Linked DNA regions of Arabidopsis thaliana. The protein of the gene in region 2 interacts with the protein of the main gene of each other region in a pairwise test. Each region holds a gene or a part of one and is shown on either strand. Other genes may lie near its edges. The genes, in order: SNAP33 and EXO70B1.

Region 1 (16,488 bases), 1.0 Mb from region 2:
TTCTTTGGCATCGTTTGATGGGTAAAGGCATTCTCGGCGTTCAGACGACTGCCTCGGAGTATCTACGAGCTTACGTTCATTGCTCCAAAAGAAGAGTGAGTGTATATATATCTCTATCTTTCTGTCGCTAAACTATCCTCTAGTTTCGGTTTGTAACTGCGAAATCTATCATCTTAGGCGGGTATAACGATTCTTCTGATCAATCTGAGTAAGCACACGACGTTTACAGTCGCAGTCAGCAATGGCGTGAAGGTGGTTTTGCAAGCAGAATCGATGAAGAGGAAATCGTTCTTGGAAACAATCAAGAGCAAGGTTTCTTGGGTTGGAAACAAAGCTTCGGACGGATATTTGAACAGAGAAGAGTATCACTTGAGTCCCAAAGACGGTGACTTGCGTAGCAAGATAATGCTCTTGAATGGTAAACCTTTGGTACCGACAGCCACCGGAGATATCCCAAAGCTTGAGCCGGTCCGTCATGGTGTGAAATCTCCGGTTTATATCAATCCGCTGTCGATCTCTTTCATTGTGTTGCCTACCTTTGATGCTCCTGCTTGTTCTTGAAGAGGATGGTAACTGGTGAAAATCAAACATTGAAGAACTACTGTAAATTTCTTGGCAATTGTATATATGATCGATGTAACACATACTATTGTATACTGGAAGTGGTTTATTCCAATCTAAATATATATAATCATTTGATTAAGGAGAAATATAGATTAGTGGAATGTGTCTAACTATACAATATGAAGATAAAAACTTGTAGTCTTATGCTTTCTTTCATTTGCAAATCCACAGACCATACAAAAAATAATAATAGTGAAGAGGGCTAAAGTGGAACAATCTCTAGGTGGTTCTGAGACGTTTTCTCGAGAACCTTCCTGGAATCTTCTATCCGGTCACACGGCAAAATCGGCATCAGAAACTTCTAAAACTTTGTGGGTACCAATTGGGTTCACGCCTGACTTGAACATGTTGCCTTCAATGTACCTGCAAAATAGAAACAGAACTCCTTATCGTCAGAGTGGAGAATGAAGAAAGAAAACATTCAACTTTTCTGAAAAACCAGTCATCATAAACTCATCCAGATGGATTTCACACAAAACAGTTCACATTGTTCAAATTCTTATACTCGATGGGTTTGCTATTTTGTCTGAGTCAAAGCTTTGATGAACTCTTCAAAAATTGGGTGAGAACTCACATTTCTTTGAGGAATGGATGCTTGTAGAATGCGTCTGGGATTCTCCCGGTAAATTGGTTGTGATCAAGGTACCTGGTTTCATCAACATCATGATCCCATTAGAATGCATATTTTCTTTTAGATAGTAAGCAAATCAAAGACAAAGAGAAAGATCAGCGATCTAGCACAAAGACTTACAGGTATGTCAGTTTAGGAATATGAGCAATGGCAAAAGGAATGTTTCCAATAAATTTGTTGTAAGACAGGTAACTGCAAAACCAATCAAACAGACATCAGAGATCTAGTGATATAGTTTATTGCAGAGAGATGGAGAGTGTAGACTGCTTACACAATCTCTAAGTTTGTAAGATTTGACAGCTGAGCAGGAATCCCTCCACTCAAATAGTTATTATTCAAGTACCTAATGAATCGAGATTTTAAAAAGAGAAAACGTAGTACATAAAAGAATATATCAAACGGAAGAGAGAAGCAAATGGAAATTTCTGAAGGGATGCTTACAAGTTGCGAAGAGCTGGGAAACTTCCATCAAAACGGATGAGCTCCCGTATAGTTCCCACCAAATGGTTGTTACCAACATCTCTGAAAAATAATGGGACACAAACCAAACATGATCTCAGTAAATAAATCATTGGAGGGTACCCAAACTATATGTAGAAAACGGCATTTGGTGTTTACAGGTGGCGAAGGTTTTGCAGAGTCCCCAGTTCGGCAGGAATTCTACCAATGAGACGGTTTTCTTGAAGGTATAGATACCGAAGCTCGGGAAGAGCAGCTAGTTCCTTGGGAATTTCTCCCTTGAAGCTATTGAAGCTCAAGTACCTTAAACATAAAAAGAAAAGAAGAAAAAATATCATGATTTCATGTGGATAAAAATGGACGATCATCAGAAGGTAAAAAGAAACATTAAGGTACTCACAAATGGGTTAGTCTCTTCAGCTCCCCAATCTCGGGAGGGATCACATCTTGTAGTTTATTCCACCTCAGGTTTCTAGTGATAACAACAGAGTAAATGTTTAGGTGAAGTATTTGGAAACTTGACATGTTATGATGGCACAAATAACAGACTTCTGTCACGTAAGTGCTAAGTTCACTCTGAAGAGAATTGGATCCTGAGTTTGGTCTCAGAACAACTTATTGAGACAAACTTTGAAAGGAAGTAAATCAATGATTCATATCGTTGTGAGAGCACAAGGAACATACAGTACTTTCAGCCGTTTCAGTCGTCCAATTTGTGGAGGGATTGGACCAGTCAACTTGTTGTTATGTAGATCCCTGAAATATCAAAGAAACCAATACCAGTTTCAATTTAACCATCTTAAAACAGCATAACTCTAAAGAATTATTGGGGATCTCGTTTCACAAACTAGGTTGGAAATATCTGTTCAAAGAGTTCTTGCATCAATCTACCTAATGTCACAAATAAAAAGGTTTAGAAAGTAACTTACAGTCTAGTCAAATCCAGAAGGTTTGTTACTGCAATGGGGAAAGGTCCAACAATCGAAACCGCATAAACTTCTCTGCAAATCAAATTCAGTGAAGCAAATCAGGTTGCTACAAAAGAAAACACTAAAGTGAGAAGAAACCAGAACTTACAATTCTGTGACAACTCTATAGTCTCCTTGTGTAGAACACGTGACACCAGACCAAGGTGGAAGGTCTCCATCTCCACAAGGATCGTCACCAACCCATGAATACACCACTCTCCATCCCAAAGAGGCTTTGATTTCATTCAAAGCTTTCACTGTCCACAAGAGATTAACTTTGAGGAAAGCTGATTATAAAAGATACAGTAGTAACCAACTACCATGATGCAGAGATATAACAAACTTCTTGAGACCAATAGTATCAGATCCAATCATTGTTCACACATAATTAATATTTCTCAATTTGAGCTCAGCTCAGCTCAGATTAGAAATAGATGAAAGAAAAAGGATCGAACTTGCGTGCTAAATCATGGAAATTGATAAGAGATAGAACGAATCTGGATAATGGGTATCTACCAAATCTGTTAAAGAGCTATACAAATTCAATCAATGGAGGATCGATCATAAACACAAAACCAGAGGGTGATTAAAGTAAAAACTTACCATCTCGCTTCAATGTCTTGGAGTGAGCAAAAGCAATTAAGAGAGAGAAGACGCAGATCAGAAGTAGCTCACAGCGAGAAGCCATGGTTTTTGCTTAAACAGCCAAAGTGAGAAAGAGAACAAACGGGATCTAAGAAGAGAGCGAAATTAAAAAACTCATTTTTATTTTCTCTTCCTCCTCCTGAGATTCGTAAACCGAATACCGTGTATTTCAAACCCGCTATCTCACCGACGGGTCTGGTAATGATCCGGATGTTTTCTTTTTGGTTAATGGGTATCGACCAAATCATTCATTGAAGAGATAGAACCAATCTTGTTAATGGGTATCGACCAAATAATTGTCATTTGTGTAAAATTATTGCATTCCTTACCTTAATTAGTTAAACATGTCCTAAGACACAAATGACAATGATTAGAAACATATGGTGCTAACTCAATTAAGAGCAAAACTTTGCTTCATCCTCGCAATCTAGCTATATACATATCCATGTCAATTATGTTAAATCACACTATGTCAATTACCTGCATTAATTTTTAGACTTAATGATTCATAAGAGACCAAAACCGATTATCTCATATTTTTGGTTGATCCAGAACCGGTTAAACAAATCAAATTCGGCTAGGATATCAAACTGGAGTTGCAAAATAACACACTGAAGATTACATGAATGTATCCGCAGTTTCAATGTTTCACATAGCCCATAAGATCAAACACCAACCATAATAGTTCTGATAAGTAGTCTCAACTAGAAAACAAAACAAAACACACCGAGAAACAACCAAGAAGAAGTTCAGTTGTCAGAACTGGAAGATGTGTCTCCACCAGATGAAGAAGAAGACTCGCTGTTAAGCTTCTTCATTTCCTCGTACGCCCATTCAAGGCCGTGACAGTAATGCACCGGCGGATTAAACCTGGTATCAGTTATATCATCTGCCAAGAATGCGCCGTTCTCCACCAGAAACTTCACTGCTTCTCTCTTCCGCTCTTTGGCTGCAGCGTGGAGAGGAGTCCACCCGCATGAGCCCCATGTTTTAGCATCAATGTTGGCCCCACGTTCTAGGAGTAAATCCATGACTTCAATGTGACCTCCCTCTGCTGCAAGGTGAAGTGCACTCACTCCTTTTGATTTGGGTCCCCATGCTAGAGCATTCACATCCATTCCTTGGTCGAGAAGCTGCTTGACAGATTTCAGATCGCCTTTTCTGGCTTTGATATGGAGCGGATTCCAGCCTCTGTCATCGACATTTGATCTGGGAGATCGGCGTCTGAATGAGTTACGCCGGAGGGAGAATGCAGCCGACGGTTCTTGGAGCATTTTGGGTCTGAGCTTCAGCTAAACAAGAACTAGCTTCGAAACTAGGATCCGGATCTGTGTAGGACTACGAGACTCGGGTAGATACTAACCAAACAGGGGTTTCTTATTCTATGCTTTTAGTGTAAATCTCTCAGCCAAGAATGTCTAAAGAAGATACTACTTGATTTGCAACACTATCCAGACTAGACAGCAAAGGAAGCAGACTAATGTAATTAAGTTGAAAGAGAGCAACTCAATTAACGGGAGGCAAAGGAGTGATTGGCGATGCAGTAAGGGAAAGAAGGATTCAAACCAGGGCCGAAGACACTAAGCTTTTGAAGGATCACAGATAAAGCCATAGACAGGGAAGAGAAAATGAGCATCAGTTTGTAAGAAATATAACCCTAATGATTGTGAAGAATCCTAACGGAGCACGACCACATCGAGACTGAGAAACCCCCAAATTTCAGCCTTAGAGAACACTGACCTTACCAAACCTATCAACAAAAGATGGAGAAGAAAACCAAATTAGTGAAAACCAGATGAACACAACAAAAATGCTATAAATTTCTCTGTAATATAAATAACACAACAATCCAGCTCGTGTAGAGTTTCAAAAGTTCATTCAGAATCCAATTACGACACTTGTAGTCTCTAATATTGGCAAATCTACAAACAATACAATAGAATCAGAAAAAATACCCTCACAGAGACAAAATCAATCGAATCAAGGGGGAACTAACGAGTACAAATTTTAATCATCGATCACCAATCAAGTCAGCTACAAATTACACATGAATCAGAACAAATCACAGAAAAACATTGACGAAATAAGAATCCAACGATGAATCCGAAACGAAAAAGAGAAAAATCAATCTCGACACGCAAGGATTTTCACACATACTTATGAACACAAGGAATCGAAAAGTTTGAGAGGCTCGTACCGTAACCCAGCGAGGAGATAGAGATAGAGAAATGGTGAAACCAAGCTCAGAGATAAAAATTTACTTCTCGCCAGAGAGATCGGAGTTTTTTCGCAGTAGGGTTTTCTCGTCGAGATAAGAGAGAATCGAATTCGTGTAGAGAAGGAAGAAGGCGTGACAGAGAATGATAAATATCGGTTTTGTTTACTATTTCTTGTCGAATATGCCAGCTCATACACCTTCATTAAAAAAGGCTGGCTTATCACATATTGGCCCAATTTAACAGGCCTTTGTGTCTAGCCCATTCTAAAACCGGTTCTTTTCTTACTCAATCTAAAATTGATCCGGTTCCCAAATCAGTTTTCCCGGTTTAGTTTTGGGTAAACCTAAAAGTTTATTTATTCCCCCGAACGACCCAGCTTGCTGCTATCAAAACCTTCGAACGGAGAACTTCAACGGCGAGCTCGGGAAATTAATACTCTCCGACGATTTGATTCGGTATGTATATGTATCTGGAGCTCGTTATCGTCAAATTCTATGCTTATCGGATCCTCTCATGATTCAGATGTATTGTCTCTTTTGGCTGTGACTGCAATTTCATCCATTTTACTGAAGTTTAGGATTACTAAGTGCGTTTATGGCCTTTTAAGGTTTCTTCTTGATTGTTTTAAGCGTTTGCGATTAGTTAATATTGGTTCTTTTGCGTATTTTCATGAACTCTAGTGCCTAGTTTCTAATGTTGCAGCAACTGGTTCTCATACCTTATATACACTACTCAAATCAATACTTATCTATATACTAATGTTACTGAATCTAGGTTCTTTTGCTCTATAAATGATGTACTGGTCCTTAATACTTTTCACTTATCTATATAACTTCTTGTTACATGTCGAAGTGTATAGCTTTATCCCTTGATCATCTTGACTACTTCTCTTCCTTTTCGGCATTGCTAATCTCAGCTTCTTTGTGTTCTTATACTGATTGCAGTTAACCAGGCTTTGTATAATTAAGGGTTAGTTTCCAATCTTGCAATGGTGTCTAGTAGTGAAGTTCTTAGCCTATGTCGTGCCTTGCTTCGAGCGGGACGTCAATTCCCTGATTACAACATTAGGGAGTACAGTAAGCGAAGGACCTTGGATGGCTTCCGCATGAACAAGAATCTCACTGACCCATCGAAGGTGACTGAGGCTTATGCTGAAGCTAAAAAACAGCTTTTTGTTGCTGAGAGAGTGCTCAAGGTTTACTTGGCATATCCTCCCAAGACCAAGAACATCATGGAAGTCAAGCTTCAGTAGATGTATGTTTGTCATTACAATATCCTCCAAAGCTATTTGTTTTTAATGGTCATGTTGGAGCCACTTTATATTCATTGATTGTCGAGTTTGTGGCTTGAGAATATGATTCGGGAACAAGTGGTGTTTGTATGAGATTATTATTTCCTCTATTCATAGTTCTTTCCAACTATGTCAGATTGCTTTGTCTAGTTCTCATTAGTAGTCTTTGTGTTTTATGGCTTCAGACATTATACAAGTGAAGAAGAGGACATTGTGGAATATATCCCTTGGATTGTAGCTGAGGAAGACTAAAGGGAATGAAGAGTTCCTGGTTTTTTTGTTCTTTTGAATAATCTCACATGATTGTGCAGTTGTTGCATAACATATGTTCCAACTTGTCTGGAGTTTCTGTATTCTTATGTCGTATTCTAGCACTGATATTTTTAGGTTATAAATCTGAGATTAAAACTCATAATTTCATCTATTATCAGAATTTCTTGAGAAAGCTTTATGATACAGATAAAAACGATACCAAAGTTGCTTCTGTTTGATCAATAAGTTTTTTGGTTTTTTGTCACAAGATCAAATACAAACACAGATAGCAATAATGTATTTAACATGATAAGAATCTTTCCAGTTTTAAAGAACAACTTCATAGAGAATAAAACAAACGAGGAATGAGTGTAATGAACATATAAACCCTCTGTTCATCTACTTTCCAAGCAAACGGCGACCACGTTGGTTTGATTGTTGCACTCTGAAGTTGAGTTCGTCAACATCATCATGAAGATGGTCAAGTCCTTTGTTCTGCTTCTCGATTTCGCTTCCCATGTCAACAGCCATGTTCTTTAGCTCGCCGAGTATATCACTCAAGTCTGAAAGCCCATCGTCTTGCTTAGCTTTTTCCATCTGTAATAAACCAGTATTAAGTTTAGTGGCGTCCAAAACACATGTTTTTCACTCAGATATATATGCTCATCATTGATGAGTCATCAATGTCTCAAATTGTTAGCATTACAGGACCACAGATAAAGAGTTCATGCATCACTCATATCAGATGCAGGAGTATAGTAATGTTCTTATGAAAGGAAAAATTGAAGAGAGGGAAGAGAAGTCCAAACCTCCACTCTCTGATAAGCATCAGCTGATTCGGGGAGTGGTTCTCGGGTTCTTGATTGTCCTCTGGGTGCTGAGTTCAGTCCCAGTTTTTCCCTTTTCTCTAAGTGGTTAACTCTTCTCGTTGGTGAGTCATCTAAGCAAAAACACAAAATAAAGGATTCAGCAATTAGGTGAAAGTAAAATAGCTGCGAGAAGAATTGAGATATCAATGACCAAGAAGCAAACCTCTGGTTACGACGGGACCATTTATAGGACGAGTCTTCTTTGGTTTCCAAGTCTTTGAAAACATGCCTCCAAGGCTTCCAAGAAGTTTCTCACCCTGAAAACCAAAAATCCAACTAGTTTCAGCATCAAATGTCTACCGTCTTCTTATCTCACACCAACTAATGTCCTCAGAAAAAGATTGAATGTTTCCATTTTATAATCAAGAACCAGAAGGAAGAAAAACTCACACGACTGAGATCATGGTCGATTTCAACGGCTTTATGGTGCGTCCTAGTGATTTGCTCGCCCTGATCGTGTAACATGACCAAAGTTCTGGTAGCATCAGACCTTATATCTTCTGCTACCTTCAAACAACCTTGTACAGATTTCGTAGTCTCTTCAGCCTTGTACACAGCATAACCTTCAAGCTCCTGAACCGACTGGTTTTCAATACCACCAGAATCACGGAAATTGTTCTTGTACTGGTATTTGGAGTTCGAAAACAATGACTGTTTGGATGAACTACTATCTCCTTTCTGAACTCTCTCACCACCAAAAGGGTTTGTCATATCAGCCAAAGAGGGTTCAGAGGTAGTCCTCTTAGAAGGGTTAAGGGTATGTTTGTTGTCAGATTCATCATCTGAATCGAAAGGATTTGGCTTGGAAGACTTGAGGTCGACTGAGTTATGCTTGGGAAGATTTGCCGGTGATTTCCTTAAACCAAACATTGTCTCTCAGGATAATATCACAAAGCTTGTTGCTTCAAACAAAAGGAACACTTGGATTGGTTACTACTAATAAACCTTCCTGCAGAAACCAAAACAGTAATCAGGATTGATGCTTTGATTCTAACTTGTAAGCTAAGAGAAAAGTTGATCAAATCAAAGGTATAGATAAAGTAAAGCAACAAGTCAAAAACGTAGCATCGAATGATTTCACTTCTAAGAACAATTTAAACGATAACATAAGACGAGACCAAAAAGTATAAGTTTTAGTTAATCAATTTTAAACCTAATTTTGGGCATAATTGAGTATATGTAGCGGCTAAAGAACCCAAGACTATGAAAACCACACACAAAATTCGCTTAATTATTTCGATAATTCTCTCTGGAACGAAACAATCGCAGAAGAGGAACGGAACAAATCGAAAGCCCAGGATCTAGCAGACGGAAATTGAGAAGAAAGGAACTGAGAATTTTGAAGCAAAAGATAGAGAGCAGATTGTGGTTACCTGGATGAGCGAAGTGGAGTCCGTGAAGAAGAAGATGGAGAAGATGAAGATTAGGTTCTTAATGAATAGAATAGAAGAGGAAGGAGGACCAAATCAATGCGAAGAAGAAGAAGAAAGGAAGAAAGGATCAAAAAGGGAAAAGATTTAACGCGGAGACGACTCAGAACGACCCAAGAATTTGAGAGTACAACAAGGAGGTCTTTGGGTATGTGTTGACGAAAATTTATCAAGGAGATTAAAAAAAAAACAAATTGTAGAAAGGAACGTGGATCAATTAATAAATAAAACAAAATCATTTAATTCAAATCTAAAACGGTCATATATATAATTCTTTTTTTTTCTAGATCAAACTTCTAAAAAAGTAAAAAGTAACTACTTTCTAACGAAAATAGAGCAATTTAGATCTTTTTAATTGTATATAGGACGTAATTGTGGATATAATAAACGTAGTTGGATTTTTTCTTACAGAGAAAGAGTCATTTTCTTATATTTTTCTAATTTCTGCTTCTTTTTTTGTACTGATGGTTTAGTTGATAAATTGTATGAGCCCAAAAAGAATGGGTAAGTTGTCAATTTTGTCATCCAAAAAGAATGGTCTTTGTTGAATTTGTCAAAGAGAACATATTTTCGCCCAAAACCAAAAACTACTTGAAGATAGAAAATTGTTTGACAATATCTATGGATATGATCATGCCTAATTTATCTCATTAATTTTTATTTGTTACCGGTTACATTGATAACGACTACAACAAAATCTTGATGTCCTAGTAGATACGATATTTCAACATATCATTTTGGTGAAGAACAAGTTGGAATATGTTTTTGCTTAAAGTCAAGTTGGATTAGGTTAGACAACAAATCTACAAGTGTCTTGATTAACAATAAAGACAACAGGTTCTTTTCCTTGACCCATTCATTTATCCCTTTGCATCAACAACAAGGTTACTAGACTCTGCACATACATGATGATACAACAACGCTTCCAGATTTCTTTATTTTCACAAGAAAAAGAAGAACAATAAAAGAGAGAAAAACGGGCCATCAAATAAACTCAGCCTTATTGACCTAGGCTCATTACAGGCCTATCAAATAGAGTCAAATAGTAAGAATCTTCTTGGTCAACGACCACAGCTTTCAACATTCTCTAGAGACTCATGTCAATTTCTCAAGATCTCTACATGTTGCTGAAGGCGTAATTAAACACTTAGAAGCCACATGAAGAAGCAGTTTTTTTTTTTGGTAGGCACATGAAGAAGCAGTTTCACTCTTGTAAAACTCAATTTCCATATATAAACATAATCACAGGGATGAAATCTATATTCCAATTTCCAATCAAATTGGATTATGTACACTTTAAATACATAAGAATTCAAACCTTATAGCTTAAAGGCTTATTTGAGGCATTAACTGTGATTTCAAGTTTAACTCGAACCTTAGCTGGTTTATACAGCAGGAAGAGGAACTAAGCAAGTTGAGGACTTGTTCTTCTCTCTCTTGATCTTAACAAGAAAATGGATATTTGTTAGGTTCCTTCAACAATATCTGATGGCTCAAAAAAAATAAAAAAATTGGAAGATATAAAGAAGCAAGTACCTGTGCTTCTAGATTGGCTATTCTTTGTAATGATGCTTGTTCGATGCATGCACGCCGCTTGCATTCTTCCTCCAATAAACATGTCATTTCATATCTTAATTCAGCCATTTCTTGTGTTAAGTCCTCTGCTTCTTCCTTGGCCTTTAGTTTCTCTTCTTTCAACTCATCCTTAGGCATAACAAAATAATGGTTTAACTAGTTAGAATATGTGTGACGCTGCAAAAAGGCACCAAATTTTTGATTCTACTGTTTTGTTTGGTAACTAATACCTTGAGCTGCTTTACAAGATCTTTGTATTGAAGTATCTGTCTTGCCATATCTTCCATTTTGTCTCTCAGTTTCCCATCCTGGAAAACCTCTAATTTCTTGATGATGTCATGGAAACAATCTGGATTTACAGGCGCTTCACTTTCACTTTCCAACCTTCCTCTAAAGCTTTGACGTAAGTCTTTGATATTCCTTTCAGAGGCTACACATCTCTCCATCAGCTCCTTGTTTTGCTTCTCTAAACACTCAGCATTCTCTTCTGCCTCTCGAGAGTTCAACCGTAGCTCCTTGACTATTTCTCTTAACTTATCGTTTTCTTGGATGCTTTCACCTTGAAATTTCTGAGCATCAAAGAGCGCCTGCTCCAACGCTACTATATCAAGTTTTATGCTTTCTATCTCACACTGAGACTCCAATGTTAAGGATGAGACCGACTCCTCCAGCTTCTCAACAGAAAACAAAGAAAACTGTAGCTCAGTTTCTGTGCTCTCCAGTTCTTGCAACAACAATAGCTGCTCAGATTTCGACGAACACAACTCCTCCCTCAAATAGTTAACTTCTTCTTCCAATTTCCCTGATTTAGTTACTCTGACTTCAAGATCGAGTACATGTTCACTCAGGTCGTTCATTTCCTGGCTTCTGAAGTTTACTTGATCCCGCAAATAATCTGAAAGACAAAGAAAGTGTTTTTTAGCTCATATAAAATATATGCCTAGATTTCAGTTTCATGAGAATCTCTCCATTACCAATCTCCTGGTAGCAATTCAACAATTCTTTCTCCAACATCTGAATTCTTCTCTTATCTTCTAAACGAGACTCTGACAACGAATTCGCATTCAGTTCCAACCTCTAGGGTAAAAAAAAAAAAGACAACAAATCTCAGAAAAAGTTTGAACAATCAATTCACTAGTCTAAAACACACAAGAGGAACATACTCTGACAAGTTCAACACTCTGTGACTGAGATTCTCTAAGCATCTCCTTTTCTCTCCGTAGCTACAATTACAATGAAAACATGAGATCATAAAGCCAAAAATATGAACTTCATCAATCTCTGAGACAAAGGATATAGAGAAAGAAAAACAGATTCACCTCCATACATCTTGAACCAATCTGTAAAAGTTCGTCAGCATCAAACGAGTTGTCAACATCGCTTCTTGAACTACTTCCCGAGCTATCTCGCGAGCTACTTCCCCAATTACTCGACATTAAAAAAGACTAACAAATTTACACACAAGAGCTGAAAACTGGACCAAGAATACGAGTCATTAGCGACCAGAGACTATAAGAAAAAGAAAGAAAAACACATTCCGACGAACACAAGCATAGTCGTAGGAAAGCTTTACCTGGCCGGTGAAGAGTAATATTCCGACGACAATACTTGAACTGAATTTTCCAGTTTCCTTTTTATCTGCTTTAATTTAAACAAGAGAAGGAAGATCCGGATGGGTCGGGCCGGGTCGGATAAGTAATCAGGGTGGCCCAGTTGAGCTGTAGTCGTAAAGCAAATAATGCAATTTTTGATGATTACATTACAGACTAAGCCGAAAATTCTGTTGGAAAAACCGGTCGTTATTTCCCAATTTATTGAGAGAACCTATATACTACAATGCCTAAATTCTATTGTTCTTGAATCTTTTTTAAGAGGTAAAGTTTATATATAAGAAACAACAGTAAGAAATAAGCAAAAGCCAATCCAAAATAAAACGTTAATCTGCCATTCAAAAGAAAACATCCATTGTTGACAACTTAAACATGAATTAACAATTCACATTATTTTAATATTTTTTCCCCCAAAGGCGAGTCCAAAAGTTATCAGCTTGGCCCTTAATCTCTTCCCTTTTGGCAGCCTCTCCAGGAAGATCCTTGCGTCCTCCAGACTTGTTTTCGGCTTCCTGTGCTTTTGGTTCGGGTTTATGCTTCTGCTCATCTTCCAAATTCTTGGCCACATTCACGTTTGGTGGCAGTTTTACTCTCTCAGGAATCACATCTAAACATCCTCTGTAACCCAAAATCCAAGCAACCAGTTAGACACACACATATTGATCGAGATTCAAGAGAAAGAGAGAGAGAGAGAGACCATATTATACACTCCCATGAATGTTGGCTCTTACCTCGGTTCATTGGGTATTCTAGACTCTCGATTCTGTTCAGTGAAGACACGGTGCACCAAGTTCTCAGATACGGTGTGTCTCTCCTTCAGTTCCACTTTATCTTCTGGTGCCCCTCGAAACCCAAGATCATCCATCTTTACAAGTGTCTGCTCCTCTGTTGCTTCTTTTTCTTGATCGGTTTCTTCTCGGATTATCCTTGAGTCAATACTGAACTGCTCCAGTGCTTCTCTATGTTTTTCTTGGTTCAATTCCACTTTATCTTCTGGTGCCCCTCGAAACCCATTACCATCCATCTTTACAAGTGTCTGCTCCTTTGTTGCTTCTTTTTCTTGGTCGGTGTCTTCTCGGATTGTCCTTGAGTCAACAATACTGAACTGCTCCAATGCGGAGACATGCTCAAATGCGGAGACAAATGCCTTCTACATCGATATTTTAGTTAAGGTCTAATATATACTTCATCACTTTCGATAGGAATCAAACCTAAGGATATTATTTTTACTAAGATTTGTAATATTCATTACTAAAAGCAGATTCCAAGTTCACGAAAGAAAACCTAAATAGTAAGATTTACCTCTACAAGCTCCTTCGCCATGGTATAATGGTTCTGACTCTTCAGTTGAGAATCAAATGTGGTTTGGTTTTTGCATGATACTTTCTTCGTTTTTTCTCCATAATCTTTAGAAAGCTTGCCTGGTCCAGTAGACATAGTTTCGTTCTTGGCTGATTGTGATTCCAAGTTCTGTCGGTGTTTTTTCCCATATGTGTGACTTGCAAATGCAACCTTGCTGTTGCAGCTGATCTGGCAGACTTGGCACCACACGGGCTGCAAACCCTCTGGTTCCTTCAAAGGATTGGTTGAAACGCTGGACTGAGAACCATTGCTGGCTACAAAGGCGGCCTACATCAAAAATAAGAAGTCAGAAGGGTTTGATATTGATCAAGGATAAAGAGGTAGAACATGAAGTAAGTGTCACTACAGTAGTATGTTTTTGGTTCGGCCAATGAGCTTTGTTATCACAAACAACTGTTGACAAACCCCGGCTATCACAAATCACTACGCAAAGATGACAAAGTTTAGATGCAGCTGGTCTTGCATGGCGTACGGTCACCTCGATTTTCTTCTTCTTTACCTCCCATGAATGCTTAGTTTCTCCTTTGGAAAGGTTTACAGGCTTGACAATGCCATCAAAACATTCACTATGACAAAAGTTGGAGAATACATTTAGATAATTGCATCTTTGACATACTAAGCAAGCAAATCCAAGTTAGCAAAAATTACCTTGCTTCCCTGGGTACTTCAAAATCAGATCTTAGGTCACCAAAGAAAAATTCTCCATTTGGAATCTGTTTGTTAAGAGTCTCCACCCAGTCCTTAGTACTTGGAAGAGGTTCTTTTACACTGCTTTCTAAAGTGCCACAAATCTTTCTCAACTCTTCGTTTTGCTTCTCAAAGAATTTGGTATGCTCTTGAGTGTTTTGAGACTGCGACTGAGGTTCGGCTATTGATTCTATTGGTTGAGCTTTTTCTTGGGCATCTTTCTCTTCAAGCTTACTCGCATTGATGAGTACCTGATGCAACTATATAAGCTTCATTCTTTATATATTTTACCACAGTTAAGACTCTCATATTCAGCATATGTTTTGCTACACTGGAAATTGTAAATTAAAATACCAAATTACCAATATTAAGAAACTGACCTCTGATTGATTCACCATGACAACATGCTTTTCGAAACACTTGCTATTCTCTTGAGCGTTTTGAGACTGCAACTGTGGCTCTACAATTGTTTCTCTTGGTTGTTCTTTTTCTCCGAAACCTTTCTCTTGAAGCTTCTTAGAATCAATGAGTGCCTGATCCTACGGTATTACATAAAGCATATGTCTACCACACTGTAGTTTTTTATATGCTCTCAAATATGCAAAAGTAAGAGACATGCCTTTGATTGATTCAGATTGGCAGCGTGCTTCTGACCCCTTAGATGAGTTTCAAAGACAATTGGACTGTGGCACCCCACATTGCACATACGACAAATGTATTTAGCACTTGCATTACGCAGTGCAGTCATTTCTTTTGGTTGACCCTTTACTTCATCACCTTTCTCTGGAAGCTTCTTAGAATCAACTAGTACCTAATCCAAAGCTATAATATCAGGCATATGTTTTACCAAACTGCCAACTTATCGATGTTAATAAAAATTCCATATAATCGAATAGCCAAAAGTTAGAAACTTGCCTCTAATTGATTCACCATGGGAACCTGCTTCTCTTGAGCCTTTTGAGACTGCAACTGAAGCTCTGCAACTGTTTCACTTGGTTGTTCTTTTTCTCCGACTCCTTTCTCTTGAAGCTTTGTAGAAACAATGAGTGCCTGATCCAATGCTTTTAGGTCAGGCATATGTTTTACCAAGCTGTCAAATTTTCTATTGCTATAAATTAACAAGTTCTCGAATAACCAAAAGTTAGAAACTTGCCTCTGATTGACTCAGCATGTTGGCATGCTTCTTACCGCGCAGATGAGAATTAAAGACAATCTGACTCTGGCACACCACATTGCACATAAGACAAACGAATTCAGCGTTTGCCTGAGCTCTACTCTCAATCATCACCTTCTTATTCATATTATGTTTCTCTAGAACCTCTTTGGAAGGCTCAGCTGGTCCCACCAAAATGTTTTTGGACTTACCTGATTGCAGTTCCAAATTGTTTCGGTGTTTTTTTCCATAGGTGTGATTTTTATATGTATCATTGTTGGTAAAGCTGATCTGGCAAACTTTGCACAACAAAGGTTCGACAAGAACTGCTTGATGTATGGGTTTGGCTGAAACGCTGGCCTGAGCTCTGCGACTTTCTACAATGGCAGCCTGCACAAAGAATTCAAACAATTTTTTTTCTATTCCTTCTAGCTACCATACAATTTCATCTTCAAGAAGAGATAGACCAACAAGCAAGATATTAATTTACCTGAGATATATGCCTTATATCTGAAAGGTGAGCGGTGAACTTTTCAAAGCTATCACATACAACATTGCATATTCTGCAGGTAGTAGCAGATTCCCCTGTGGCTCCACTGCTATGCTGAAGCATATTTTTTCTATTTTCTTGAAGTGATCCTCTTGGAACATGCTTTTCTCTGGTTTTATGATCCTTAGTATCTCCAGCGTTAGAAGTTGAACCAGTTGGTTGG
Region 2 (16,292 bases):
TATACGACAGTTCTTCAAGAAAATAATTCTATATTGTTTGTGAACCTTTAATATGGGTTTTTTTTAGAGTTGGTATGTAGAATTGACATTTTCTTTTCTAGCGTTGGTATAATGAGTAATTTTGTTTTTTCGGATCATAAAAGATATTTATGAAATTTGTAAACCTTTTATAGGATAGTGTAGTAGGCTCAACAGATTAGATTATAGAGTTCTTTTGGTATATAGAGACTCTGTAAACCTTTTATATTTGGGAATTTCTCACTTTGTGAAACTTTCATCATGAATAGTACAAATGATGATATATACTACTAAATTCAAAATGTACATAATCGAATTGATGTTATATTTTGACATGATTTCATATTTAAATAAGAAACAGAATTAGTGACTACGGAATAATTCACACCCTCATCCACTCAAATTATTGATATTTGAAAATCTGGGTCTGATAAGGAACAAACTAAAATATAGAGGAACTTTTGTGAATATTTATAAACGCGACCTTCCTCTTAGTTGGGCCATAAATAATTGGGCCTAAATTAAGCAAATCCAATACTAATGGCCCATTATTGGTGGGTAATATCCGACAAATTCTCTTTACCTCTTTCTACGACGGCGACGACTGAATCGCCACCGCCTTCCCGCTCCGACTCTTGACTTCCACCTGTTTACTCCTTTGCTAGACCGATCAGACCCATCTGAAGCTTTTCTGTCTAGAGTAGAGAAGGAGATGGGCAAACCCAAAGGAGATGCTGCAAGAAGCAAAGCACGTCCATCTAGCAGCAGGTCATATTTGTTCCTTTAATCTCTTCTTAACGTTTAATTTCTTCCGACTTTATCTTTTGTTTTTTGAGTCTATGCTTCGTTGGTTCGGTACTGAATTGAGCTTCTTCTGAACAGCTTGGCAGCTTCTCTGTTGCCGTCTGGCTCTGCAGCCGCCGTAGGTTTTGGGGGCTATGTCGGTAGCTCTAGATTCCAAACTTCTCTGTCAAACGAAGACTCTGCTTCCTTCTTGGTATGTTTCTCCCGTCTGCTTACTTGTGTGTTTGCCAATCTCTCATCTTTTTTAATGGATTGTAGGATTTGGATAGTGAGGTTGCCCAACACTTGCAAAGGCTTTCAAGGAAGGATCCTACAACAAAGGTAATGGCTTCTCTGATTATCCAATCGACTACAAGAGCTGTTCTTGATTGTGATTTGTTTGTTTCAACCCTTTTACAGATTAAAGCTCTTGCTTCCCTATCAGAACTGGTTAAGCAGAAGCAAGGGAAGGAACTTTTGCCAATAATCCCACAATGGGTAATGTTTAGACAGAAGAAAAACTGTAGCTTCAGAAGCTGTATTAGATTAGATGTTGAAGATAGGCTAATCAGCATTGGGAATATGACTCTCACCGATAGAATTACCTCTAATTAGATGTTTAGACAGAAGAAAAACTGTAGCTTCAGAAGTTGTATTAGATTAGATGTTGAAGATAGGCTAATCAGCATTGGGAATATGACTCTCACTGATAGAATTACCTCTAATTAGTCTTTGTCTTGCAGAATGTTGATCACTATATTTCCTACGTTTTCAGTGCATTTGGTTGCTCATTTTCCACATATGGTTGACTATATTTTTCATATTTTCTTACTTGTCCAGACATTTGAGTACAAGAAGCTGATACTGGACTACAGTCGAGATGTTCGGCGAGCTACTCATGACGTCATGACTAATGTTGTCACTGGTGCCGGGTTTGACTCTCAATTTTCTAATGCATGCCCTTTTTCTTGCCGTGATGCAGTGCCTCATTTACTTCTTCTTCTTTTAGTATCATTCACCTGGATATATGTAGTTTTCTTGTGTCATGAGTGATATGATTTAGCTTTGAGGTTATCCTAACATCAATATCAAAATTATCATCAATATTTTGTTGGAATGATTCGTTTGCTAAGTGCTGTAGAAGCTTGTCTATATTGAGCGTGTCATGTAGGAACTATGTCTTGATGATATTGTCTTAGCATGTATGCCATACTTCTATTCTATGTTTTCTCCCACTATTATCTGATTCTGTATTAATTCTTTGTTTCTTTGTGTTACTCAGGAGAGATATAGCTCCTCATCTAAAGTCTATAATGGGGCCCTGGTGGTTTTCGCAATTTGATTTGGCATCTGAAGTTTCTCAAGCAGCAAAGTCGTCTTTCCAGGTTGGCTCCTCGTTTGGTAATTCAGTTTTCTTGGTGGAGGTTATTTTACTTTATGTTTGAATGCCCCGCTTTCTATTATAAACTCTATTGTCGTTTTATTAGACCAGTAACCTTTTAGTTCTGCTCAGGGGGCACTTTGTTATAGCATCAATATTCAGAATTTCAATTAGCTGTCTATTGTTTAAACAGGCAGCATTCCCTGCCCAGGAAAAGAGATTGCACGCCTTGAATTTATGTTCAGCTGAGATTTTTGCTTATCTGGAGGAAAATCTCAAACTTACACCTCAAAATTTATCTGATAAATCACTTGCTTCAGATGAATTAGAAGAAATGTACCAGCAGGTACTTCATCTCGGTGATTCTTCTTGCTATGGTGAAGTTTTTCCTTCTTTGGGTTTTCGTTTACCATGTCTTATTTCCATTGTTTTCAGATGATATCGTCATCTCTGGTGGGGTTGGCTACACTTCTAGATATTTTGCTCCGCGAACCCGATAATACTGGCTCTGCAAACATTAATTCTGAATCAAAACTTGCCTCAAAGGCTAGGGCAGTAGCAACCTCCTCAGCTGAGAAGATGTTCTCTTCCCATAAATGCTTTCTGAACTTTCTAAAATCTGAAAGCCCTAGTATTCGGTCAGCGACTTATTCTTTGTTAAGCAGCTTCATTAAAAATGTTCCTGAAGTCTTTGGCGAAGGCGACGTCCGAAGTCTTGCACCAGCTCTGCTTGGTGTTTTTCGAGAAAATAATCCAACCTGCCACTCATCAATGTGGGAGGCTGTCTTGCTGTTCTCTAAAAAATTTCCTCAGAGTTGGGTCTACTTAAATGTTCATAAATCTGTTCTAAATCATTTATGGCAGTTTCTGAGGAACGGGTGCTATGGATCCCCACAGGTTTCTTATCCTGCACTGATATTGTTCCTCGAAGTTATGCCAGCACAATCTGTAGAAAGTGATAAGTTCTTTGTGAATTTTTTCAAAAACTTATTGGCTGGAAGGAGTATGTGTGAATCATCAAGTACGGATCAGTTATCACTTCTTCGGGCAACCACTGAATGTTTCCTCTGGGGATTACGTAATGCTTCAAGGTATTGCGATGTTCCCAATTCTATTCATGATCTCCAGGTTGATCTAATTGATAAAGTCCTAGTGAAGATTCTATGGGCGGACTTCACTGAACTATCTAAGGGCAGCATTCCACCTAATCAGAGGAAGTCAGCTGAAAATCTTGGCATGGGTAATTCAGTTAGTTATCTGCAAGAGCTAGGAAGATGCATCTTAGAAATTCTATCAGGGATTAATTTACTTGAACAGAACCTGCTGTCTTTTTTCTGTAAAGCTGTTCAAGAGAGCTTCTTGAATATGCTTCAGCAGGGAGATTTAGAGATAGTTGCGGGAAGCATGAGAAAAATGATTGATTTTCTCTTGTTATTGGAGAGATATTCAGTTTTGGAAGGTGAGAGCTGGCCCTTGCATCAATTTATGGGGCCACTGCTGTCCAAGGCTTTCCCGTGGATAAGATCATCTGTAAGTTATCGTCCACGTTTTGTTACCCCGTTTTTTCATAGTAGATCATATGATGTTTTTACTTGACTAACCTGTGTGGCTGTATTTATCTTTTCAGGAATTGTTAGATGGTGTGAAGCTTTTGTCAGTTTCAGTATCGGTGTTTGGACCAAGAAAGGTAGTTCCAGTGCTAATTGATGATATAGAGACTTCTACCCTTCTCTCTGTTGAAAAAGAGAAGAATATGAGCCCGGAGAAGCTTATTAAAGTTTTTCAAGAAATTTTTATTCCTTGGTGTATGGATGGATATGACTCTTCGACTGCAGCTAGACAAGATCTCCTATTTTCATTGCTTGATGATGAATGTTTCACTCAGCAGTGGAGTGATGTCATTTCTTATGTATTTAATCAACAACATCAGGGCTTCAATAACCTGGCTGCTATGAAAATGCTTTTAGAGAAGGCAAGGGATGAAATTACAAAAAGAAGTTCTGGACAGGAGTTGAATCAAAGAATAGGTTCTCGGCCAGAACATTGGCACCATACACTCATAGAATCAACTGCTATAAGTCTTGTCCATTCCTCCTCAGCGACTACAACTTCTGCTGTTCAGTTCCTGTGGTAAGTTAGTCAATATATCTATAAATAGTATCAATATTTTGCATTTATATATCTCAGTCAAGTCTTTTATGTTGCTTGATTGCTTGTTCCCAGTTCTTATTCTATATTTTTTTTGTATGCAGTTCAGTTCTGGGTGGTTCAACCCAAGACAGCAGTATTTCTTTTGTGTCAAGAAGCTCGTTGGTCTTGATATATAGAGGGATCCTCGAAAAACTGCTATCTTTTATCAAACAGTCACCATTATGTTCAGTCAATGATACATGTTCGTCTCTTATTGTCGAGGCTATAGCGTTTGATTCGAGCAGTTCTGTAGATGTGATCGTGGTTGCTAAGTTTGCAGCTGAAGTTATTGATGGTAGTTTCTTCAGTTTGAAGTCTCTGAGTCAGGACGCAACCCTACTTACAACTGTATTGTCTTCTATTTTTATCATTGACTTAGAGAATAGAATGACATCACTAGTGGACAATACGCTATCTGAGTCCAAAGAGAAGAGAAAGGATCGGAATTTTGTGTGTGATTATGTTCATGCCGTTTGCTCTAAGATGGATAATCAATTCTGGAAATCTATAAACTATGATGTCCGGAAGAGTTCAGCAAGCACTTTGGCTCAGTTCCTGAGGTCAGTTGTCCTACTTGAGGATGATCTGCAACCTTTTGAACTTACATTATTGTGTGCTTCAAGGATGACCGAAGTGTTAGAATATCTCTCATTGGATCAAAGCGATGAAGAGAATATCTGTGGCCTGCTCCTGCTTGAGAGTGATGCGTGGCCTATTTGGGTCAGCCCCAGCTCGTCAGCTAGCATAGATACCCATGGTATGCCTGTTCAGTTGTGCGAATTGAGGAAATCGAAAAGTCAAAGATATGTTTCTTTCATTGACAGCCTGATCATGAAATTGGGAATTCACCGATTTATTGTTGGCCACAAAGATCATGGGTTTGCCTCTCAAGCTTGGCTTTCCGTAGAAATACTCTGCACGTGGGAGTGGCCAGGGGGTAAAGTTCAGACTTCTTTCCTGCCAAATCTTGTATCATTTTGTAAGGATGAACCATCGAGTGGAGGTTTACTAAATTCCATTTTTGACATTCTACTCAACGGTGCTCTTGTGCATGTAAAGGATGAGGAAGAGGGCTTAGGGAACATGTGGGTTGACTTTAATAATAACATAGTGGACGTCGTTGAACCATTTTTGAGGGCTCTAGTGTCATTCCTTCACATTTTGTTCAAGGAGGACCTTTGGGGAGAAGAAGAAGCCATGGCTGCTTTCAAAATGATCACAGATAAACTCTTCATAGGGGAAGAGACAAGCAAAAACTGTTTGAGAATTATTCCTTACATTATGAGCATAATAATCTCACCATTACGTACAAAAGTAAAATCTGGTGGTTCTGGTAAAGATACTCTGCTACCACTGGAAGTTTTGCTTAGAAATTGGCTGGAGAGGTCTTTGTCGTTTCCTCCTCTGGTGCTCTGGCAAAGTGGGGAAGGTAAAGACCGATTAATTTTTTATTTTTTTTGAAAGTGGTGCTTGTAGTCTCATCTTGAACCTATGAACAATGCTTAGATTTAAATGAGGATTAGGCTCGGGTGTGGATGTAGAACAAGTATATTTACTTATGAAATAACATTGACTTAGTGATAGTCCTGAGTCCTCATCTGAGAAGTGGTCATAGTTGGCATCAGATGGACAGTCTAGGGAGCAATTTAAGACTAAGGTTTTGTTGTTTATCTTTTACTTTGCATGCCTAGCTCATTATTGTTTTCCCCCGTCTTTATCAGATATACAGGATTGGTTTCAGCTTGTTATCTCTTGTTATCCCGTAAGTGATAAAGCTGAAGAAGCAAAGGAACTACAGAGGCATCTGAGCACTGAAGAGAGAACGCTCCTGCTTGACTTGTTCCGCAAACAAAAGCAAGATCCTGGTGCATCAACTGTAGTTACCCAACTTCCAGCTGTGCAAATTCTGCTCGCAAGACTAATTATGATTGCAGTTAGTTACTGTGGAAACGATTTTAACGAGGATGATTGGGATTTTGTCTTTTCTAATCTGAAGCGTCTGATTCAATCTGCAGTAGTTGTGATGGAGGAAACTTCCGAGAACGTCAACGACTTCATTAGTGGTGTTTCTTCCATGGAGAAGGAGAAGGAGAATGATACCCTTGAAGGACTTGGGCATATAGTTTTTATCTCTGATCCTTCTATAAACAGTGCTCAGAATGCTCTCTCAGCATTTTCGTTGCTTAATGCGTTAGTAAACCATAAATCTGTTGAAGGTGAAGACAATCTGAAATCCTTGGCAGATGAAACATGGGATCCTGTTAAAGATCGAATACTTGAAGGTGTTCTGCGTCTTTTCTTCTGCACGGGTCTTACTGAGGCTATTGCTGCTTCATATTCCCCAGAGGCAGCATCTATTGTTGCTTCATTTCGAGTTGATCATCTGCAGTTCTGGGAGCTGGTAGCTCACCTTGTAGTAGACTCTTCTCCACGCGCAAGAGATAGAGCTGTCAGAGCAGTGGAATTCTGGGGACTAAGCAGAGGATCTATAAGCTCTTTGTATGCAATAATGTTCTCTTCCAATCCAATCCCGTCATTGCAACTTGCTGCATACACTGTTTTGTCTACCGAACCTATTTCCAGGCTGGCCATAGTTGCTGATTTGAATGCACCACTGAATGATGAGTCTCTCAATGATCAGGACTCAAGCAATGCTGGTTTACCATCTGAAGACAAGCTACTGCTAAGAGATGAAGTATCTTGTATGGTTGAGAAGTTAGATCATGAACTTCTTGATACGGACTTGACTGCGCCAGAAAGGGTAATTCTTACTTTTCAAAAGCTTTATTTGGTTTATTTTCCCTCTTTGGGCAAGTCATTCACTGTTTAATCACTTTTAATGGCAGGTGCAAACGTTCCTGGCGTGGTCTTTGTTACTCTCCAATGTTAACTCTTTACCTTCACTAACCCAAGGACGAGAGAGACTGGTGCAATATATAGAAAAAACTGCAAATCCGTTGATATTAGATAGTCTTTTTCAGCACATTCCTCTAGAATTATACATGGGACAGAGCTTGAAGAAAAAAGATGGGGATATTCCGTCTGAGTTATCTGTGGTAGCTTCAGCAGCCACTCGTGCGATTATTACGGGTTCGTCCCTGTCAACGGTTGAATCACTTTGGCCTATTGAAACTGGAAAGATGGCTTCGCTTGCTGGGGCGATATATGGTCTGATGTTACGTGTCCTTCCAGCTTATGTTAGAGAATGGTTTAGCGAAATGCGTGACCGTTCTGCATCATCTCTTATTGAAGCATTTACAAGAACGTGGTGCAGCCCATCTCTAATCAAGAACGAACTGTCTCAGGTATGTACAATAAAAAACCTTTTCTCATCTCTGAGAGTTGCAGTGAAGATCCACTAATGCATTTGCAAATATTCTGTTCATTGTTTATGTGAGCCGCAGATAAAGAAGGCAGACTTTAATGATGAGAGCTTTTCAGTCAGCATAAGTAAAGCGGCAAATGAGGTAGTTGCTACATATACGAAGGATGAAACGGGGATGGATCTCGTGATCCGGCTTCCAGTTTCTTACCCACTCAAGCCTGTTGACGTTAATTGCGCAAAAAGTATTGGAATAAGCGAAGCGAAGCAGAGGAAGTGGTTGATGTCTATGCAAATGTTTGTTCGTCATCAGGTACTGTACTTTATGAGTCATATCGATCTTTGTTAACCTGAATGATATCTCCAGTTCCATCATGTAGACCATATATGATTAATCTTGTCCTCTCCATCTAAGCCCAAATTGAGTGCCTGTCTTGATTGAATGTTTTTCTTCTTCTTCTTTTTCTAATGTGTTGTTACTGAAAGCAGAATGGGGCTCTGGCGGAGGCGATAAGGATATGGAAGCGAAATTCGGACAAGGAATTTGAAGGAGTAGAAGACTGCCCGATATGTTACAGTGTGATACACATAGGGAATCACAGCCTTCCAAGGCGAGCTTGCGTGACTTGCAAGTACAAGTTTCACAAAGCATGTTTAGACAAGTGGTTCTACACGTCTAATAAGAAACTCTGCCCCTTGTGCCAATCTCCTTGCTAATACAATAGCTGAGGATATACATTTTTGTGACATTAGTCTGTGAGTTTTGCTTTAACTCTTTAACGTTCTTAGGTTTTACTTTCCAAGAAAATAAAAGGGTTTAGGTGGAACCGCATTGCCATTGATATACATATACCCGTATCATATGTGAAAATTGGAAAAGTAATAAATAGAGAAATTTACTTCGGGTACACACACACATGTAGTAGACCCGGTCGAGAATACAAGCTAATTAATAAGCGAAAGATTTGGGTGACTAATTTTTTTTTTCCTTTAATTATTTTATTTTATGGTCAATGCATATATCTTAACAGACACCAAAACACATAGAAATACATTACCAAAAAAAAGGAATATATTTAAGCTGGGGATTCGCGGAGGTAAATGAGAAAATACAAAAGGAAACATATATTTAAATTTAAGAAAACAACTAAATGTTGTAATAATAAAGGAAACAAATAATTGAAATTAAAAAATAAAGTGCAACGTCCTTCGAAATCGTCCTCACTAAGAAATGATGGGATTTTTGATATATCTTGGAAAGAAATAATCCCAGTTTGTTTCCAAAATGGCGTAAGAAGAATAAGTCAAAGCTATTAATTGCAATTTAAACAAAAAAAACGTTCGTTATTATAACGCAAAGACTAGAAATAAAAAGAATATTTCGAAATATATAAACTCTCCTCCATCGCATTCACATATATCAAAGAACAAACAACGAATATCAATATTACTTTTGAGTTTTGTATCTGTTTGTAAGAGAAAATGGCAGGAAAAATGTGTATGATGGTGATGGTGATGGTGGCATTGATAATGATTGGATGTCCTCTAAAAGCATGTAATGGAATGGCTTCTCATGAAACAATAAAAGAGCATCTGTGGAAATTGTGTTACAAAAATTGCATGATCAAATGCGGTAAAGATAATTACCAGTGTCAGGACCACTGTTTTGCCGTTTGTGATCCCGACCAACGCCCTCCTTCACCACCGTCTCTCAAGTAAGTACTCCATATATATTCCTCTTAAATTATTTCCTTACTTAATATTTGATTAAACATATTATACTGATATATATACGTGGACTTAATTTTTGTTGATACAAAGCAATAAAGGCAAAACAAGGCAAGATCGCTATATGCTCCACAAATTGTAACACCAAATGTGGCAATGACGCAGATTGTATGGAACCTTGTTCGAAGACTTGCTCCACTCCTACTACTCTTTTTTAATTCTCATCCAAACTACTCACTTCTATAGTTATATCATGATATGATCTATGATTTTCATACCAATATCGATGTATTGAGAATGTTATAATTGATTGAAGACTTAGTTATGAATAAAGTTAGACATGGTTCTTGTGCCTGTCAAAAATCAACTAAAACGTTTTTAGATCTTGATGGTTTGATGAAAATAATGATTTGGAAATATGATCACACAAAGATGATATGAAATCATAATTTTAAATTTTACAAATATGATAACTATAAATATTAGATATCAAAACTTAGCTTTACAATTTTGAGTGTTATTTTTTCTTTAAGAAAGACAGGAAGTGGGTTTAACTTTTTGGAAATTATATTGATTTTGTGATTACTATTGTAAATTTATTATATAAAAAAACTAGACACCAATGCTTGAGCGAAACTTTGATGAAACTCTGATTTGTATAATCTTTTAAATTATTAATGTTTGAGTGGATATTGGGTTTACAAATTTGTTAAAAACTTTGGTGAAAGTAGAGAATTAAAATCAATTAAGGGTAACAAATAAAGTTGTTTATATAAAATATAAAATACATGATTATATGTACAATTCATAATATTAGTATATATGATACTAGAAGAAAAAAATTTAAATACGTATGACACCGAGTATAAATATCTAATGCAAAATACAGAAAATAAATAGATACTGACGGATAATTCCGGAACACATGAAGGTTTTAACATTTAACCCATAAATCCCAGAACCCGTTCAGTATTTGAATTTAGTTTTTTTATGGCCACGCTCGTTTCGAGTTTGGGCCTGGCTGGATATTTTTTTACCCACAACAAATCTCTACCCATATATATAAATGGGCCTCTCACTTAATAAGCCCATAATACCCTAACATCATGGAGTTGGAAGAGGGTATATAAATGGCCAATTAGGGTTTTGTACGTGCTCTCACTTTTTCTCTCAAGTGGTTCGGAGCTGTTTCTAAGAAAACAACAGGTAGTTCGGATCGGAGCTACGCTTGCAAAACTCAAAACATGGTTCGTCATCCTCTAATCTCTATCTCTTTCTTCTGAGCTTAGTGATTGTTTACATCTAGATAGTTCCTTAACTCGACTCTCGTTTCTGGTGGGTTTGTGTTAGAGTGACTTAGAGAATGGGTTTTGTTAGCAATTTGATTGATTCGATAACTTGTGAATATTATATGCATCATGGTGATTCTCCTTAGATCTGAGCTCATTAGATCTCAAATGTGTCGCTGATTTAGGTCATGATGATGATATACATAGCAGTAGAGATTTCCTTAATAATAACATCTCTTAACATTTATTTTGTTAAATTTTACAGGCGAGGGGTTTGAAGAAGCATCTGAAGAGGCTTAATGCGCCTAAGCATTGGATGCTTGACAAACTTGGTGGTGCATTTGTATGTCTTTTACTCTCTCTCTTCTTGTCTCAGTTTTGATTCAATTTTATATATATCTCTTGGGTTTGTTTGAATAAGTATGTTCATTTCTGGTTCCACACAGGCCCCAAAGCCGTCTTCTGGACCACATAAGTCAAGGGAGTGCCTTCCCCTCGTCCTTATCATCAGGAACAGGTTGAAGTATGCTCTTACCTACCGTGAAGTGATTTCAATCTTGATGCAAAGGCATATCCAAGTTGATGGGAAAGTCAGGACGGACAAGACCTACCCTGCTGGTTTCATGGATGTTGTGTCTATCCCCAAGACCAATGAGAACTTCCGTCTTCTCTATGATACCAAGGGACGTTTCCGTCTCCACTCCATCAAGGATGAGGAAGCAAAGGTTTGTTCTCCTCTTGTCATTGTTTAGTTGTCTTTTAGAGTGATACTTGACATGATGGGGATATGTTGTGTTCTAACATTATGTCTTCTATTTGTACAGTTCAAACTTTGCAAGGTTCGATCTATCCAGTTTGGACAGAAAGGCATTCCTTACCTGAACACTTACGATGGTCGCACCATCCGTTACCCTGACCCGCTCATCAAGCCTAATGACACCATCAAGCTCGACCTTGAGGCCAACAAGATTGTCGAGTTCATCAAGTTTGATGTTGGCAATGTTGTGATGGTTACAGGAGGTAGAAACAGAGGGCGTGTTGGTGTGATTAAAAACCGTGAGAAGCATAAGGGAAGCTTTGAGACAATCCACATCCAAGATTCAACAGGACATGAGTTTGCAACAAGGTTGGGTAATGTGTACACCATTGGCAAAGGAACAAAGCCATGGGTGTCTCTTCCCAAGGGCAAAGGTATCAAGCTGACTATCATCGAGGAGGCCAGGAAGAGGCTTGCTAGTCAACAGGCTGCTTAATTTTGTGATTTTCAGTTCTTTGTTATGCTTCTTTAGACGTTTCATATTTCCTAGACTCACTTCGTTTCTTTTGGTACTCTGCTCAGTTTTGAAACTTCTCTTATATTATTTATTTCAAGAGTTAAAAACATCAAATATCCATTGTGTCCTCTCTTGTTTTTTACTATCTTCAAGAGTTGGTACTAGTTGGTTATGGTTACTTGGTGATAGTTACACAATTATTGAGAATCAGTAAAATAATGAAAAATCTTGTGTTGACTCCTTTGTTAAAAGGGAAGACTTAGATGTAAGAACATATTGATAAAATATGCACTCAAGACTTAGAAGTAGATCCAAGTCCCTAACATGTCATCTTTTTCAACTGTTTTCTCTTTTTACAATGACAAAAAAAGTGATCCAGTTACAATACAACATTACACAACAACACAACAGAGCTGAGCTAACTGTCTAAAAGGATACACAATACATGTTACAAATCCTCCCTGCAAGACTTCGCTATTGGTCATTTAGCAGGTGGTTCGTTACGAAGATGTTACAAGAGGCTATTTTTGTGTTCGTTACCTTCATTTTCTTCCCGTGGTAGTCCCTTTGAACAGCTCGTTAATACGCGCCTCTATGTCCTCAACTCCATACTTGATGTACTTGTCTGCGTTTTTCCCTATGTCTCCAAGGTTTTGGAACCTGCCGATGAAGCTCCCGTATGCCGGTACCAAAAGCCTGGCCAGTGAGATCTTTAGCTCTTCTTTCAGCTGCTCGTCAAACACTACCCACGTCGAATGCACTTTACATATCTCATCAAACTGAATATTGAACTGCTTCAGCTTCTCCTTCATGGTCTTCCCCAAACCGTTCATGCCTGCTGCAGTATTATCCACCTTCAGCAACCCCAGCATCTTATTCCATGAGCTTCTCTGATAATTCATATGGTATTGTTTCACTTTGACATTGTGTTTCCGAATCCAATCATCTCCTAACAGCAATCCTAGGTCTCCATCTTTGACTTTCTGAACAATGTATCTCCCATTATTCATCAGAAACACATAGCACAAAGCTGGATCTTTGTACACTTTAGATTTTACTTCCAAGTTACTCTCTAGAAGCTCCATGATCCAAGACATCTGTACAGTCAACAGAGTTGAATCTTTAGAAGGGACACCATTGCTTTCCTCAAACACTTGCTCTAAGGTTTGCCGGGATCTACAAGCCGCACGGAGGTAATTCATCACATAACGAGTGATCGGGTGGAGACCACCGCCCGGAACCGCAGCTTTAGCCGGGTCTCGCCGGATCAAATTCTCAAGCTCCATAAATATACCTCTTATCGCCTCTCCCAACCGTTTCCAAATAGTTACTGCTTCATTTCTAAGAACTGAGCAAAACTGATCCGAGAACACAGACTCAAATTCAGGCATCAAATCCCTCATTGTCTCAAACACATCAAGCACTTTAAACAATCTCTCAGGCGATCTGCTTCCAATAGCAATCGCGTCTGCGAAATTCAGAAGCTGAATGGTAGAGCCACGACAAACCTCCATAAACGAAAGATCAGCAGCAGAGGAGAAACCGAAGAAGACACGGTCACAGAGTCTACGTTCGCTAGGAAACAGGATTCTTAGAGCAACGTTAGCAGCTTTGATCCACCTATCTATCTCATCTTCTAACTCCTGCCACGGCATCTTATGAACTTCTTCAATACTCAGCTTCTGTAACCCTAACCTTGACATACTTTCTTCCAGAAACTCTCTCCTACAAGAACTATAAACATGAGAACACGCCTTACCAAATCCAGCGCCAAGCATTCGCTTAGCCATCTCGTGTAGATCGTTAATTGTCGCCGAAGGGAGAGCATCAATGATAAGATCGTAGTCAGTGAGTGGCTGTGCCACTGGGATCTGAATATCATCACCGTTGTTGAAGTCTCTGTCATCATCTTCTTCTTCCTCAGAATCGAAACGATGATTCATCGCACCAGCGTCTCCCTGAGGATTAAGTCCGAAAGACTCAGCTCCACGCTCCATAAGCGACCTGAACTCTTCTTCGATGCGGAACATAGCTTGCTGCATCATATCGTCGGCGCGTGTTAGACAGATGCCGATAGGTTTCTCTGAAGCCATGGGACTCCACTCTCTAATGATTGCAACGAGCTCATCGATTGTGTCGAGGAAAGCAGCTGAATCTGCAGGATCAGCCCAAATTGGTTGGTCCGCAGCAACAAAGCGAGAGATCTGACCGTCTATTGAATTTAGAGCTCGCTCGAGTGTGGCGACTCCGGATCCATCTTCTCCAGCTTGACCTTCGGCGAGCTTCTCGCGAGAAAATCTGCCGTCGAAGTTGGAGAAGATCTGTAAGATATCATCGGCCATGGATTCATTGTGGCCAAGTGTTTTGGCTATGTGACGCGCAACAGCAAGTAACTTCTCTTCACCATTCTCCGCCATGATTGAAACAGATGTGGAACCAGTGTATAGAAGATTTTATGTAATCTCGAGTCACTAAATAAAAAGGTCACACAGCGAGATCGACGGGGAAAGAAGCAAGGAAGGGAATCGAAGACGAAGAAAGTTCCAAGCAAGGAAGAAGACTGGATGGATAGAAAAAACTTGTCGAAATGACGAAACTACCCCTTAAGACAGACGCGATCTTTGACCTGGCCGCGTTGTTTGAAAATGGCATGGGCGTGTAATATTGCGATAATTTCTGCTGTCTTTTTGTGAAATCTTTCCCTTTCGCGAATATTGACGTCTCCGTGACTTTTCTGTCATTGCCTCATTGGTCTCGCTTTAGGAGATAAACCGGCCGGTTTACGAGTAAGATTGGTGGCTCGATGGTTCATTTTCTCTCTCGGTCAACTCACTAAAACGAACTGGTTGTTACTTACCAGGAAACAATGGGTATGAGGGCAATGCAGACGCAGTCAGAACTCAGAACTGCTTCTAGAAAACTTATATACAACAACTAAAGAAAACAAAGAACGTTTACCAAACTATCAGATATATCTTTGGCGGCATATACCAGAAAACAATGGGTATGAGTCAATGCAGCTGTAGTCAGAGATGCTTCTAGAAAACTAATTTACAGCAACTAAAGAAAACAAACAAGAACGTTTACCAATCTCTATCAAGATAGATACAACATATGAAAAAGGAAACTACACTTTTTGACAAACCATTATTACGCAATGTGATTCTGTGCCATACATGGATTTGGTATGGTTATGCCAAAATGAACATCGTTCACTCTCTTTTTTTCTGTGTTTGTTAGCTGCTCTGCTTCTCTCTATCGTATTGGCTGGTCTCTTCTGCAACCTTTGCCCAGACGTTTCCCATTTTCTCTGCGTATCCAACCTGCGTCCAATTCAAGAACACAACTCTTTCTTTAAAACTCTGGACTCTTTGATTACTAGCAAATTTATATATTCCTATCCTCTCTTCTACCGCATTATCTTTAAAAGAACTCATTTTCATTTGCCTACAAGAGACCCATGAATGCCATCTTTTTATTCTACTTCTCCACTCTTGAAATCTCACTAAGAATGAAATCACACACTTTGTGCTTAAACTAAACAATCTCCTTATCACATTCTTCACTCTATTGGGCAATTAAGAAAGGCATCATCCTTCTAATGTTAATGTGCTGCATAATAATAACGTACCTGGTTAACAACAAAACCCTTCATCATGTTCATGAAGTCTGCACGCCTTTCTCTGTCCAACCTCTCAACCTCAGATCGGTTGTTTTCCTGCAATGATACAAATTTACACAGAGCATAACCAAAATATTCATATCATGTTGGTAAAACAGCACAAGTTGTGATATGCATAGGGTTATTACTAAATACCTTGATTCGCTCATACCCTTTGATGGCAACATTTTTTGCATCCTCAGTGACCTTGATTGTTTCTTTTAACTCTTCTATTTTTCGGATCCTTGATTTGTCACCACCAAATACCTTCGATGATGCAGCCTCTAGCTTCTCAACTCTAGTTTGCAGAGAAGGAAGCTCTGATAGAAGCGTCTGAACTGTCAGTAAAGCACTAGATCTATCTGCAAATGCGCCTTGGACAGCCATCATCATGCCAAGGTACTCATGGAGTGTGTCCTGAAATGAACAATTAAAATAAAAGAACAGCTCTTAGTGAAGCTCAAATTCCAGCAGCATCTCCAACATAAGCTGACAATCTGCCAAGTGTCCACTAGTTAATAATGAAGATACTTGCTACGCATGGCGAGATTTCCGAAATCCTAATGTCAATCGCTTAAATCGAAATGATCATTTTTTTCAGATGAAGAAAAGAAAATAACATTTCATTTGATTCCAAGTAAGGGAG

Evidence for each region.
Region 1: the proteins of EXO70B1 (region 2) and SNAP33 interact in a two-hybrid assay, tested with the Arabidopsis thaliana proteins (one study listed by BioGRID).

The regions. Positions count from the first base shown.
Region 1 is NC_003076.8:24,616,367-24,632,854, reverse strand, and holds SNAP33 (soluble N-ethylmaleimide-sensitive factor adaptor protein 33), read right to left. Parts: upstream 9,608-16,488; 5' UTR 9,332-9,607; exon of another isoform or gene 9,112-9,331; intron 8,908-9,111; 5' UTR 8,829-8,907; coding exon 8,349-8,828; intron 8,216-8,348; coding exon 8,122-8,215; intron 8,030-8,121; coding exon 7,899-8,029; exon of another isoform or gene 7,687-7,898; coding exon 7,489-7,686; 3' UTR 7,224-7,488; downstream 1-7,223. Other genes in the region: GUS1 (glucuronidase 1), read left to right, coding at 1-95, 178-561; AT5G61240 (Leucine-rich repeat (LRR) family protein), read right to left, coding at 897-987, 1,199-1,270, 1,376-1,447, 1,527-1,598, 1,697-1,777, 1,874-2,017, 2,115-2,186, 2,273-2,307 and 4 more; ANK6 (Ankyrin repeat family protein), read right to left, coding at 4,077-4,601; AT5G61220 (LYR family of Fe/S cluster biogenesis protein), read left to right, coding at 6,535-6,798; AT5G61200 (myosin heavy chain-like protein), read right to left, coding at 10,774-10,830, 10,925-11,092, 11,194-11,858, 11,938-12,040, 12,127-12,186, 12,283-12,399; AT5G61190 (putative endonuclease or glycosyl hydrolase with C2H2-type zinc finger domain-containing protein), read right to left, coding at 12,969-13,191, 13,305-13,723, 13,876-14,202, 14,282-14,501, 14,584-14,882, 15,003-15,161, 15,242-15,433, 15,538-15,672 and 2 more. UniProt on the Arabidopsis thaliana protein: t-SNARE involved in diverse vesicle trafficking and membrane fusion processes, including cell plate formation. May function in the secretory pathway.
Region 2 is NC_003076.8:23,608,933-23,625,224, forward strand, and holds EXO70B1 (exocyst subunit exo70 family protein B1), read right to left. Parts: upstream 14,612-16,292; 5' UTR 14,403-14,611; coding exon 12,528-14,402; 3' UTR 12,220-12,527; downstream 1-12,219. Other genes in the region: AT5G58410 (HEAT/U-box domain-containing protein), read left to right, coding at 731-786, 901-1,015, 1,081-1,143, 1,222-1,299, 1,642-1,733, 2,084-2,225, 2,376-2,528, 2,618-3,712 and 6 more; AT5G58412 (Putative membrane lipoprotein), read left to right, coding at 9,177-9,409, 9,516-9,564; AT5G58420 (Ribosomal protein S4 (RPS4A) family protein), read left to right, coding at 10,667-10,669, 10,977-11,054, 11,158-11,436, 11,536-11,964; SNX2a (sorting nexin 2A), read right to left, coding at 15,222-15,308, 15,617-15,703, 15,803-16,063. UniProt on the Arabidopsis thaliana protein: Component of an exocyst subcomplex specifically involved in autophagy-related, Golgi-independent membrane traffic to the vacuole. Regulates autophagosome formation and autophagy-related Golgi-independent import into the vacuole.